Arabidopsis thaliana: one gene and its partner. The protein of the gene in region 1 binds, or shares a complex with, the protein of each later gene. Each region holds a gene or a part of one and is shown in the gene's direction. Other genes may lie near its edges.

What was found. The genes of interacting proteins can lie anywhere in the genome.
Region 2: the proteins of SCL3 (region 1) and JKD are in contact, whole or in part, in a crystal structure (PDB 6KPB), measured with the Arabidopsis thaliana proteins. Residues at the interface, in NP_175459.1 of Arabidopsis thaliana: Glu48 (codon at 2,922), Gly51 (codon at 2,931), Leu52 (codon at 2,934), Ile55 (codon at 2,943), Thr90 (codon at 3,048), Met91 (codon at 3,051), Leu366 (codon at 3,876), Tyr367 (codon at 3,879), Ala370 (codon at 3,888), Ala371 (codon at 3,891), Asp374 (codon at 3,900); in NP_195935.2 of Arabidopsis thaliana: Ser370 (codon at 5,038), Ala371 (codon at 5,041), Thr372 (codon at 5,044), Leu374 (codon at 5,050), Leu375 (codon at 5,053), Gln376 (codon at 5,056), Ala378 (codon at 5,062), Ala379 (codon at 5,065), Met381 (codon at 5,071).

Annotation. Positions count from the first base shown.
Region 1 is NC_003070.9:18,677,064-18,682,405, reverse strand, and holds SCL3 (scarecrow-like 3), read left to right. Parts: upstream 1-2,105; 5' UTR 2,106-2,402; intron 2,403-2,643; 5' UTR 2,644-2,780; coding exon 2,781-4,229; 3' UTR 4,230-4,712; downstream 4,713-5,342. Other genes in the region: DWF5 (Ergosterol biosynthesis ERG4/ERG24 family), read left to right, coding at 1-72, 165-231; AT1G50410 (SNF2 domain-containing protein / helicase domain-containing protein / zinc finger protein-like protein), read right to left, coding at 5,041-5,145, 5,229-5,342. UniProt on the Arabidopsis thaliana protein: Probable transcription factor involved in plant development.
Region 2 is NC_003076.8:743,237-749,734, forward strand, and holds JKD (C2H2-like zinc finger protein), read left to right. Parts: upstream 1-2,184; 5' UTR 2,185-2,612; coding exon 2,613-2,799; intron 2,800-3,173; coding exon 3,174-3,573; intron 3,574-4,405; coding exon 4,406-4,662; intron 4,663-4,774; coding exon 4,775-5,442; 3' UTR 5,443-5,792; downstream 5,793-6,498. UniProt on the Arabidopsis thaliana protein: Transcription factor that, together with BIB, regulates tissue boundaries and asymmetric cell division by a rapid up-regulation of 'SCARECROW' (SCR), thus controlling the nuclear localization of 'SHORT-ROOT' (SHR) and restricting its action.

The DNA of each region.
Region 1 (5,342 bases):
CTTCTACGTCATATTTCTCACCCTTCTTCTCTTTGATCGAGCCAAGAGAGACGATGACCGATGCCGATCAAAGTAAGCACCAAATCTAAATGATTTATTTTACACATCCTCTTTGATCTTACTCTGATTTGCTGACAATATTCGGGTTTTGTTTTGGTAAAAAGGTATGGGAAATATTGGAAGCTGTATTGTGAGAAAGTCAAATACAGGATCATTCCGGGAATTTATTGATTGTAACGAAGTCTGTTGTTCTCATTTTCTACTTATTACGTTAATTCGAACGTTGGAATCATCAAAAGACCGTGCCAAAACAAAAATGCAAATTGATGCGATAGACATTCTTTTGCTGATTTGTATGCTATAGGTTTTCAAATCTCTAGCTACACTTATGTATTTCCCTAGATTATCAAAGTTAGCCTGCCGTTTTCTAATTTTATTATTTGATATTTTGATTATACTGCTTCTTAATGCATCAAATAAGTTGATTCATCCATCTAATATTTTAACTACATCAAATGAAGTCTTTTATAAGTACAGGCACTAATTGAACTTGAACCCTATAAAATACATGAATAATCACAAAGAATTGATAGTGTTCTTTCAGTTTTTCAATCACAAAGAACTCACCGACATTATCAAGTTGACTTCACTTTTAGACTTAATTGGTGTTCTGGAGGATCCACAAAACTACTATTACACAGTTTTCACAAAATTGTGATTCTTTATTTTTTATTTTCTTTGGTCAAACTAACATTTCATTCAACTTTAAACGAGAGTTGCCTCCACGTGGAGAGTATACACAAAAAGCTACGAGGACAAATGCTCAAACAAAAAGACATAAGAAGGGGAGCTCAGAAGCTCAACCCGAGTAGCAGCATCCAAAGTTGCTAAAACAGAACCATCATTTACTTCTGAGGCGGTCTTCGTACCAAGCTCCTTCAGCAAAATTGTGATTCTATGTTTGGATATCATGAGATCTAACTACAAAGTTTTTAATAACAAAAACTTACCATTCTCTAATTTGTAGTCAAAGCTAAACAAATTTCATACTAAAACAATTTTACTGTGTTGTTATGGATGCATATTTTTCTCACTTTATAGTACTATTTTACTATTGATAAGATGAAAAAAAAGTTGAGGTACAATAGTAGTAAAATAGCATCATTCTTTTTCTGTAGAATCTCTCTGGTCAATGGTCTTTTTAGTTTAAAAACTGAATAATGTTCTCTCTCACACAGTAAAAAACAAAGAGAGAGAGAAAGAAGAGAAGAAGACAAAAATGTAGGCATTAAAAAGAAGAAAAAGACAAAGAGAAAAGTAATGAAAAGACAATGAACATTTAAAGAAGACAGACAAATCCCACACCCAAGCCTCAGCCTCATCTCTTTTATTGTTATTTGTTTTTCTAACAAAACAACAAAAACAAAAGAGATGGTTTTTGGGTTTTGTTTTGTCTTTGTTAGGGCGTGTTTGGACGTTTCCTTCTTCTCAGAATCAATATTTTACCAAAACAGCTTTCTTTTTTTCTCTTTAACAATTTTTTTGATGTAGAAATATATAGTCATGATTCCAAATCCACCTCATGCCATGACAAAAACCCATAAAAGTGGAGGTTCCAATCTCGAATACAGACATATATGTTGTATTCGTGTATGTATCTATTATAAGATAATTCCAATTTGTATAATGCCAAATGGGTTCATTGAACTTCTTCTTCCTTCATAATTAAGTGTTGCTTTTTCTTCTTAGTTCCTCTAAATCAAGAAAATTCTAGGTGAAACTTCTCTTATCTTGACTTTATATAAAATAATAACTATAAAAATAATCAATAAGACTAATTCCTACAAGTCTTACAAATTTAAAAGAAAATGAAAATGCAACATTAGCTAATACACATAATAGTATAAGATTGATGGATGTATTCTTATTCAGTTTTATTTATAAATGCAACATAAGCTAATACACTCTCATTCAGTTTTATTTATTAATGTTACACCACTTTAAGAGCACTCAAAATCAAAATACGTATTCTTATATGATATTCATTCATGTAGTACTAGTACACATAATAGTATAAGATAGATGGATGGGATTGGAAAATTTGACAACCTTTTGTTTAATAATTCCTTAAAACCAAGGAAAGAAGAAAGAGGAAACGAAAAAAACAAAAAGGAAGAAGACAAAACCGACTATCACGCATTGTCTGGTACGTAGAGCCAAAAGGAACAATGCCTCTGTTTTAGTGTTTTCTTTCTTAAAGTTTTTTCCCAAAACACAAACAACATTTCACACACACGCTATTACTCACAAGATAACCACCAGAGACGTGGATAGAGAGATAAAGATTGAGAGAACCCTCTCACTCCCAAAAAAAAAGCTTTAGACATTTTCTCTAAATCCATGTAAGTTTTTTTCTTTGGTTATTGTTGTTTGTTATCTTCTTTGATCATTTGCTATTATTTTGTTTTGTTTCTTTCTTAGTTTATCAAATTAGGAAAGTTTTAATTCAGCTCTCTGTTTGTGTTTCTTCGTCTATATCTATTTCAAATAGTTTAACTAGATTCAAAGGTTTTTAAAATTCAGTACTTTCTCTGCAAACCCTAGTTCCTCTGTTCTTTAACCCCCTTTTTTGTTAAACTGCAGATTCTCTGCATCTTTCAAGAAATTCCGAATCGTGGGTTTGGTTCTTCTCGTTACGAGTCTCTCAAAGTTTAAATCTTTCTTTACAAAAAAGGTTACTTTTGGTTCTGAGTAAATCAAAATCAAGCTTTTGGCCTTCAATGGTGGCTATGTTTCAAGAAGATAATGGAACATCTTCTGTAGCTTCATCACCACTTCAAGTCTTCTCAACTATGTCACTCAACAGACCGACTCTCCTCGCTTCTTCATCTCCGTTTCATTGTCTCAAAGATCTCAAACCAGAGGAGCGTGGTCTCTACTTAATCCACCTCTTGCTAACTTGTGCCAACCACGTGGCTTCAGGTAGCCTCCAAAACGCTAACGCAGCGCTCGAGCAGCTCTCTCACCTCGCTTCTCCTGACGGCGACACGATGCAGCGAATCGCTGCTTACTTCACCGAAGCGCTTGCTAACAGAATCCTTAAGTCCTGGCCTGGTCTTTACAAGGCTCTTAACGCAACTCAGACAAGAACTAACAATGTCTCTGAGGAGATTCATGTTAGAAGACTCTTCTTTGAGATGTTCCCGATACTCAAAGTCTCTTACTTGCTCACTAATCGAGCTATACTCGAGGCTATGGAAGGAGAGAAGATGGTTCATGTGATTGATCTCGATGCTTCTGAGCCAGCTCAATGGCTTGCTTTGCTTCAAGCTTTTAACTCTAGGCCTGAAGGTCCACCTCATTTGAGAATCACTGGTGTTCATCACCAGAAGGAAGTGCTTGAACAAATGGCTCATAGACTCATTGAGGAAGCAGAGAAACTCGATATCCCGTTTCAGTTTAATCCCGTTGTGAGTAGGTTAGACTGTTTAAATGTAGAACAGTTGCGGGTTAAAACAGGAGAGGCCTTAGCCGTTAGCTCGGTTCTTCAATTGCATACCTTCTTGGCCTCTGATGATGATCTCATGAGAAAGAACTGCGCTTTACGGTTTCAGAACAACCCTAGTGGAGTTGACTTGCAGAGAGTTCTAATGATGAGCCATGGCTCTGCAGCTGAGGCACGTGAGAATGATATGAGTAACAACAATGGGTATAGCCCTAGCGGTGACTCGGCCTCATCTTTGCCTTTACCAAGTTCAGGAAGGACTGATAGCTTCCTCAATGCTATTTGGGGTTTGTCTCCAAAGGTCATGGTGGTCACTGAGCAAGACTCAGACCACAACGGCTCCACACTAATGGAGAGGCTATTAGAATCACTTTACACCTACGCAGCATTGTTTGATTGCTTGGAAACAAAAGTTCCAAGAACGTCTCAAGATAGGATCAAAGTGGAGAAGATGCTCTTCGGGGAGGAGATCAAGAACATCATATCCTGCGAGGGATTTGAGAGAAGAGAAAGACACGAGAAGCTTGAGAAATGGAGCCAGAGGATCGATTTGGCTGGTTTTGGGAATGTTCCTCTTAGCTATTATGCGATGTTGCAGGCTAGGAGATTGCTTCAAGGGTGCGGTTTTGATGGGTATAGAATCAAGGAAGAGAGCGGGTGCGCAGTAATTTGCTGGCAAGATCGACCTCTATACTCGGTATCAGCTTGGAGATGCAGGAAGTGAATGATATATTACAGTTTGTCTTCTATTTTGGTTATGAGCAGAGTCCCTTTCTTTTTTGTATACATGGGGACACAATCTTAGTTGTTTTGTGATGGTGACTTTCTGTCTCTTTATGCTATTTTGGCTTAAATGCTTCTACTGCCTCTGCATGTAAAGCCTTTGTGTGTTGGTTCAATTTGGTCTGGTGTGGGTGTAATACCAAACCAAATCCAATTTGAGCTGAAGATAACTAATTTGATGATCGGTTCAAGTTCAGAACTCCAAATTCTTTCAGAGACCAGCCAAACTTTGCCTATCTTTAAGCAGGTGATCTTGTCATTTGTGTATTGTAAATAACTTAAACTCGGTATATATATTTAGGTTACTAAAGGACATGTTCACTATCCAAAGAGTATACGACTTATCTGCTGTCCAAATACTTTGTAACCTAAAGTTCACGTGCTTCATTTACATTGAATCTAGTTTAACCTAATCTTCTTGCTTCATTTATATTTGAATTTTGTTTAAGCAATCTAGTCTTTATCTTGTCTTAGCAAATTCACAGAGTGTTTCTCATGCAAAAGTGTTGCATGATCAAAACACCTTGATAATAAGATTGAAAGAGTAATGTGATCCCAAAAGGAAAGAAGATCTCGGATGAACTGATTCAGAAAAAGTATATACTCTGATGTTATATATACTATGAGACAACAGCTAAGTTATTTACATATTTCCTCATTTCAAATCTGTGAACCTGAAGAACACAAGAATGCAGCTCATGATCAAAATTCTGAAAGAAGCGAAACTTCGCCAACCCAAGATTTAAGAACAGCTACACCATGAATAGATATTTGAGATCATCAACTGTTAATCGAGTTGCAGAGCTTCCACCATGATCTTCACCAAAGGCAGACGCAACCATTTTTCTTTTCTCTTCCTATAATAATAACCAAAAATCACACAACCACAAATGAGAGAAACTGAGGGGGGAAACAAGTATCAGCTATAAGGGATCTTTACCTGGAGAGCCAAAATTCTATCCTCCACAGTATTTTTTATCGTAATACGAGTTACAGTAACAGGTCGAGTTTGTCCAATACGATGTGCTCGATCAATAGCCTGATCTTCAGTAGT
Region 2 (6,498 bases), on another chromosome or scaffold:
TTGAGTTCCTAAAACTTTTTGGGAGTCAAAGATGGTGCTCTCTTTAAACAACGGGAACTTTTTGCATCGACCTATATGCTTTGTTCTTGGGACACAGAACATTTTCCTTTGCCAAATACAATTTCTTGGGTGGATAAAATTTTCCTTTTATATTAAAATAGGAGTTGAAACTATGTCCAATTAAATTAATATGTAGATCCGAAACATAGCTAGTACATATCAACGTAGATTTTTTATAAAATAAGTAATAAATAAAGAGCTACTGTTTCTTAGTCTCAAAATACCTTATAAAAAGATATTGTTTTGTTTTATAAAGAATAAAATGAAATTTGTTAAGAAGATATATATATATATATATATCTCAATTAGTCTATATATAGGGAGTATATATATATATAGTTATTGATTACTGCTTCTAAAATATGCAACAATTATATTGGTACGTATATAAATTGTTTTTTTTTAAAAAATAAATAAATTCAATTTGTAGAAAAAAAAAACTTATTACAAATAACATAAAACAATAAAATGCCGAAACTAAGAAACCCTTTAAAGTTATGACCGTAATAGTTAAATGTTGTATCTACAATCCTTTGAAACTATATCTATGTGAATGAAGATTTTAGTTGAATAAAGAATAAATCCAAAAATATCATCAAATTATGCATCAACATTAAGGGTGTCAAAATGGATCAAAATTCATGGATCAAGTCAACTCAACTCAATCCGTAAACTCTAATGAGTTCAAAATTTTGACTCAAATGAGTTGATGAGTCAAATGAGTTGATGAGTCAATTGGTTTGATGAGTAAAATGAGTTGATGAGTCAATTGGTTTGATGAGTAAAATGAGTTGATGAGTCAATTGGTTTGATGAGTAAAATGAGTTGGGTTGTAATGGTTAATGGTTTCAATGGTTTACCCAATTAACCCATCAAGTTTTGTAAAATTGAATTAAACCAACTAAAATCTCTAAACCAATGCCAATTTAAGTTTAACCAACACAACTAAACCGATTTAATAAAATTAATATTTTTCTAAATTTCTTAAATATACAAGCGATGAAATTGAGAAAAAAGTAAACTCGTAATTTTCCACCAAAAAACATAAACCCGTGATTTTCCTGCCAAAAATTTAAACCCGTGATTTTTCCCCCAAAAACGTAACCCGAGATTTTTCTGCCAAAAATATAAACCCGTGATTTTTCTGTCAAAAACTTAAACCCGTGATTTTCCCGCCAAAAACGTAAACCCGAGATTTTTCCGCCAAAAACGTAAATCCATAATTTTTCCGCCAAAAACGTAAACTCATAATTTTCCCGCCAAAAAACATAAACCCGTAATTTTCCCGCCAAAAACGTAAACCCATGATTTTTCCGCCAAAAACGTAAACCCGTGATTTTCCCGCCAAAAACGTAAATCCGTGATTTTCCCGCCAAAAACGTAAACCTAAGATTTTCCCGCCAAAAACGTAAACTCGTAATTTTCCCGCCAAAAACGTAAATCTTTTAAACACCGTGATTTTCCCGCCAAAAATGTAAATCCGTGATTTTCCCGCCAAAAACGTAAACCCGAGATTTTCCCGCCAAAAATGTAAACCCGTAATTTTCCGCCAAAAACGTAAACCCGTGATTTTCCCGCCAAAAACGTAAATCCGTAAAAAGTGGAATCCGTAAATATCCTAAGTTTGATGATAATGAATTAATAATGATAATTATTTATTATTGTTTTATAATAGTAATTAATTAAATTATTATTTAAATGGGTTAATCCATTTAACAACTCAACCCATCAAATTAAATGAGTTATGGGTTGACCTAACCCATTTAACAAAATGAGTTGGGTCAACCCATAACTCATTTAACCCTAAACTCATTTGATTATGAGTTGAGTTGAGTTGGGTTACCCATTTTAACACCCCTAATTAACATACACTAATTGATGATATATATTTTTCAAATAACAATATCATCTAAAATATAATTTAGATTACATCCCTTAAATATTTATACCTTCTCCCAACTTATAAACACACCATAGATGTACACATGCACGTGTGTCTATCTAAACTGCAAGAAAGGAAGAGACTGGCCTTTTCGAAGAAAATAATTATTTACAAAAAATCACTTTCCCTTTTAGAAAATAATTTACTAGTCGACTACAAAAAAAAGGGTAGATCTCTATATGTACATCTCCCAGATCTCTCAACATTATTTATACAATTTTTTCTTTTATTCCTGCAAGAGTTTTTTTTTGTTTATAACAACAAATCCTCTTTCAATATAATCTTTATATATACGTATACTTTCGTGCCTTGAAATTTTCTTCCTCATCTTCTTTGGTCTTTTCTTGTCATTTGGCATAACCAAAGAGTCAAGCACATTCAAACATTCTCAAGCCCTAAAACCCAAAAAAAACTTATATGCTCTTGTTCTTGTTCTTCTTCTCCCCTCAGCATATTAAACCCTAATTAACTATCTCTTTTGTTTGTATACTGTTATAAACCTCCTGATCATCTTCTTGTTTTCTTGCAAGATTTTATAAAAAAAAAACAAAACCCAGCTGTTCTTGTTCTTGTTCTTTAGCTCCGATCCGTTTTAAATTAAAACACAGATATGCAGATGATTCCAGGAGATCCATTTTCTATTTCATCCTCCATGGGAGGGTTTGTTCATCAAGAAACACACCTTCATCATCTTCAGCAGCAGATCCCTGACCTTAACCCTAATTCTAACCCTAACCCAAATGCGAAACCAAACTCTTCATCAGCCAAGAAGAAGAGAAATCAACCTGGCACTCCAGGTATAACTCATTCCACACCATAATATACTCACATGTATACCCAAATCTATGTGCATGTGTGTGAGTCATAGATACTTGTATGTCTATATTTCTACATATACATAAGACGTAGAAAGCAGCTCCATATATTTGCAGATCTGTTTTCTGATGAAAATAACATCTCCATATATATTATTTGCTGAAATAATCACAAACTCAGTATTCACATATGCATATACATCCCTCTCTATATTTCTTATATGTATATTTCCTCCTTTTACTGTATCCGGATGGTCATGTTACATATTTGTTTATTTATAATCTCTACAACATATTTGGAGCCATTAGATCAAAATATGCGTTGATATATCATATTTAAACATAAATATGGACAGATCCAGATGCTGATGTCATCGCTCTATCGCCAACAACACTCATGGCAACAAACAGATTCGTGTGCGAGATCTGCAACAAAGGGTTTCAAAGGGACCAGAATTTACAACTACATCGCCGTGGCCACAACCTTCCATGGAAGCTAAAGCAACGGTCCAAACAAGAAGTGATAAAGAAGAAAGTATACATATGTCCTATCAAGACTTGTGTACACCATGATGCCTCCAGGGCCCTTGGAGACCTCACTGGGATCAAGAAACACTACAGCCGCAAACACGGTGAAAAGAAGTGGAAGTGTGAAAAGTGTTCTAAGAAATACGCTGTTCAGTCTGATTGGAAGGCACATGCGAAAACTTGTGGTACTCGTGAGTATAAATGTGACTGTGGCACGTTGTTCTCCAGGTAATATTTACTAACGAGATTAACAGTTGGTATTGGTTAATGTATAAGTTGAGTTTTTTTCTACATGAAGTATTAGAACTCGGTATTCTATTCATATATAGCAATATCGGATGAAAGCAATGCAAAACAATTCATGTGACAGTGTTAGAACCTAAAAGAATTGTGTAAAAAACTCAAACAGATATAGGTGTATATATCAAGTGTCGGCATGCATGAATGTGTGTGCAATGTCTTGTGATTTGTTATATCTGTTGCGAAAGTTGGAATAGAGCAGAGCATTAATTGAAGACATTCTGACTTATGGGAGCAATTTCTATTTATTTTTGTTTAAGATTTTGAAATAATAGCTGCATACTTTATGAGTATATGATATTCGATGAGATTTTGATGGCATGAGCATCTATTCATTTTGTGTGGTTGTATGTGTACATGTCTATTTGGCTTCATTCTTTTCTTCTATTCACACCATATGGCAAGAAACTAGATATCATGCATATATTTTGTCAACAAACACATACACACACATGCATATATATTATATATATATATATATATATAAGTTCTATGTTTTTGTATATAGTAACAATTAAGGTTTTTGTGCTTTTTTTTTTTCTTTTTTTTTCTAGTTTTATGTTTATTTCTGTCTTCATGTCGCGAGTTTGCATAGGAGAAATAAATGCTTACTCCGGCCAAGAATGTTTTTGTTTTGCAAATGATTTCAAATTCAATGCTCTATTGAATAATAATCAATGCAGTTGTCTCACTCTTAAAATAATTATGTCTTTATTTTTATTATTTATTATCTAATAAATAATCGATCTCTGTTTTATAGGAAAGATAGTTTCATCACACATAGAGCGTTCTGCGACGCATTAACTGAGGAAGGAGCGAGGATGAGTTCACTTAGTAACAACAATCCGGTGATCTCTACGACGAATCTGAATTTTGGAAATGAGTCAAATGTTATGAATAATCCAAATCTTCCTCATGGATTTGTACACCGAGGAGTTCATCATCCCGACATTAATGCTGCTATCTCTCAATTCGGTCTAGGGTTTGGACATGACCTAAGTGCAATGCATGCGCAAGGTACATCACATACCAATCCTCTTTCTAAATTAGTTATTCATATATATGAAATATTTTTTTTTTTTGATGAATATGTTATAATACTATTATCAATTCAATTGCGTTAATTTAGGTCTATCCGAGATGGTTCAAATGGCCTCCACCGGCAACCACCACCTCTTCCCGTCGTCATCATCATCCCTCCCTGATTTCTCCGGCCACCACCAATTCCAAATTCCAATGACTTCCACAAACCCTAGTCTCACCTTATCATCATCCTCAACATCACAACAAACCTCAGCTTCACTACAACACCAAACCCTAAAAGACTCATCTTTCTCACCACTCTTCTCCTCTTCCTCCGAAAACAAACAAAACAAGCCTCTCTCTCCAATGTCTGCCACAGCTCTCTTACAAAAAGCTGCACAAATGGGCTCTACTAGAAGCAATTCCTCCACCGCTCCGTCATTCTTCGCCGGCCCAACAATGACATCCTCCTCGGCCACCGCTTCTCCTCCTCCTAGATCGTCTTCTCCAATGATGATCCAACAACAACTAAACAACTTCAACACCAATGTCTTAAGAGAGAATCATAATCGTGCTCCTCCTCCTCTTAGTGGTGTCTCCACTAGTAGTGTGGATAATAATCCCTTTCAATCGAACCGATCGGGTCTAAACCCGGCTCAACAGATGGGTCTAACCCGGGATTTTCTTGGAGTGAGCAACGAGCATCACCCTCACCAAACGGGTCGTCGTCCGTTTTTGCCTCAAGAACTCGCAAGGTTTGCTCCATTGGGTTGATTATGTGTTTAATTAGGTACTGTGTGGGGGGGACAAGATTTTGGGTTTAATTAGGATTGGAAGTTCCTTTGAGGAGACAAGTCTAATTAAGAACCGTACCCCCTTGTGAAGCGGTCGGAATGTGGGGACAAAGGTTGACAAGACATCATCATATCAATTTACATTGAATGTTATGTACTTTTTTACTATGTTTATGATTATCGCAATTCACATAATATATACCACCATGACATGCATGGATATGTATTTCCGACATTGTCGTTTTGTAAATGTTGTTTATTTTTTCTCGTTCTTGTAATGACATTCAAAAAATTGGTAAATCTTCAGGCTTTTCCAAGTTTGTTAACGAAGACATTGCTTAAATCGAATATTGTGATATATATGTTCAATTCTCTAAAATCCATGGTTTTCTGTTTTAGACACTTCTTTGATTCTATTGTGATGCGATCACTACACTTATACAGTTATATTCTAAATTTAGATATGTTGACAATAACCCTACAAAACGTTCCCCAAGAACAGCTCAAAGCCTCAAAGAAAGTCGCTTCAAAAGTTTTAAAACAAAAGTAAACTCATTTTATAACCAACATTATGCGTTCATATATAACTGTTTTCTTTAATAAAATACAAAATTCTTACATAAAGTATAATTGAAACTGAACCACCTTGTTGAAACTTCCTTTCAAGAGAACTCAAGTTCTCGAGGTGTGTGTCAATGTAACCTTTTGGATTCTGCGTAAATTAAAATATTTTTAACTGATACTCTTTTCAGTAGACTGATAGGCTTGTGCTTGTCTTTATTTTGACTTATCTCTAACCCCACACATACAATAGTATAACTAAATAGCTAGTATTATTTTCCTAGAAAATATGAAATCTGTCGTCTTGTGGATCCATGCGTTATTCGTTTTTCATTGTCAAACACTAAAAGATTTAGTATGTATTTATGTTATTTGCTTCCCCCCACCAATGGTAAATCCTATTATAAGTGCCACTAATAGGATTATTTAAATTTAAATTTTGATGCATGTCAAAATCAAAATCACAAAACAGAGT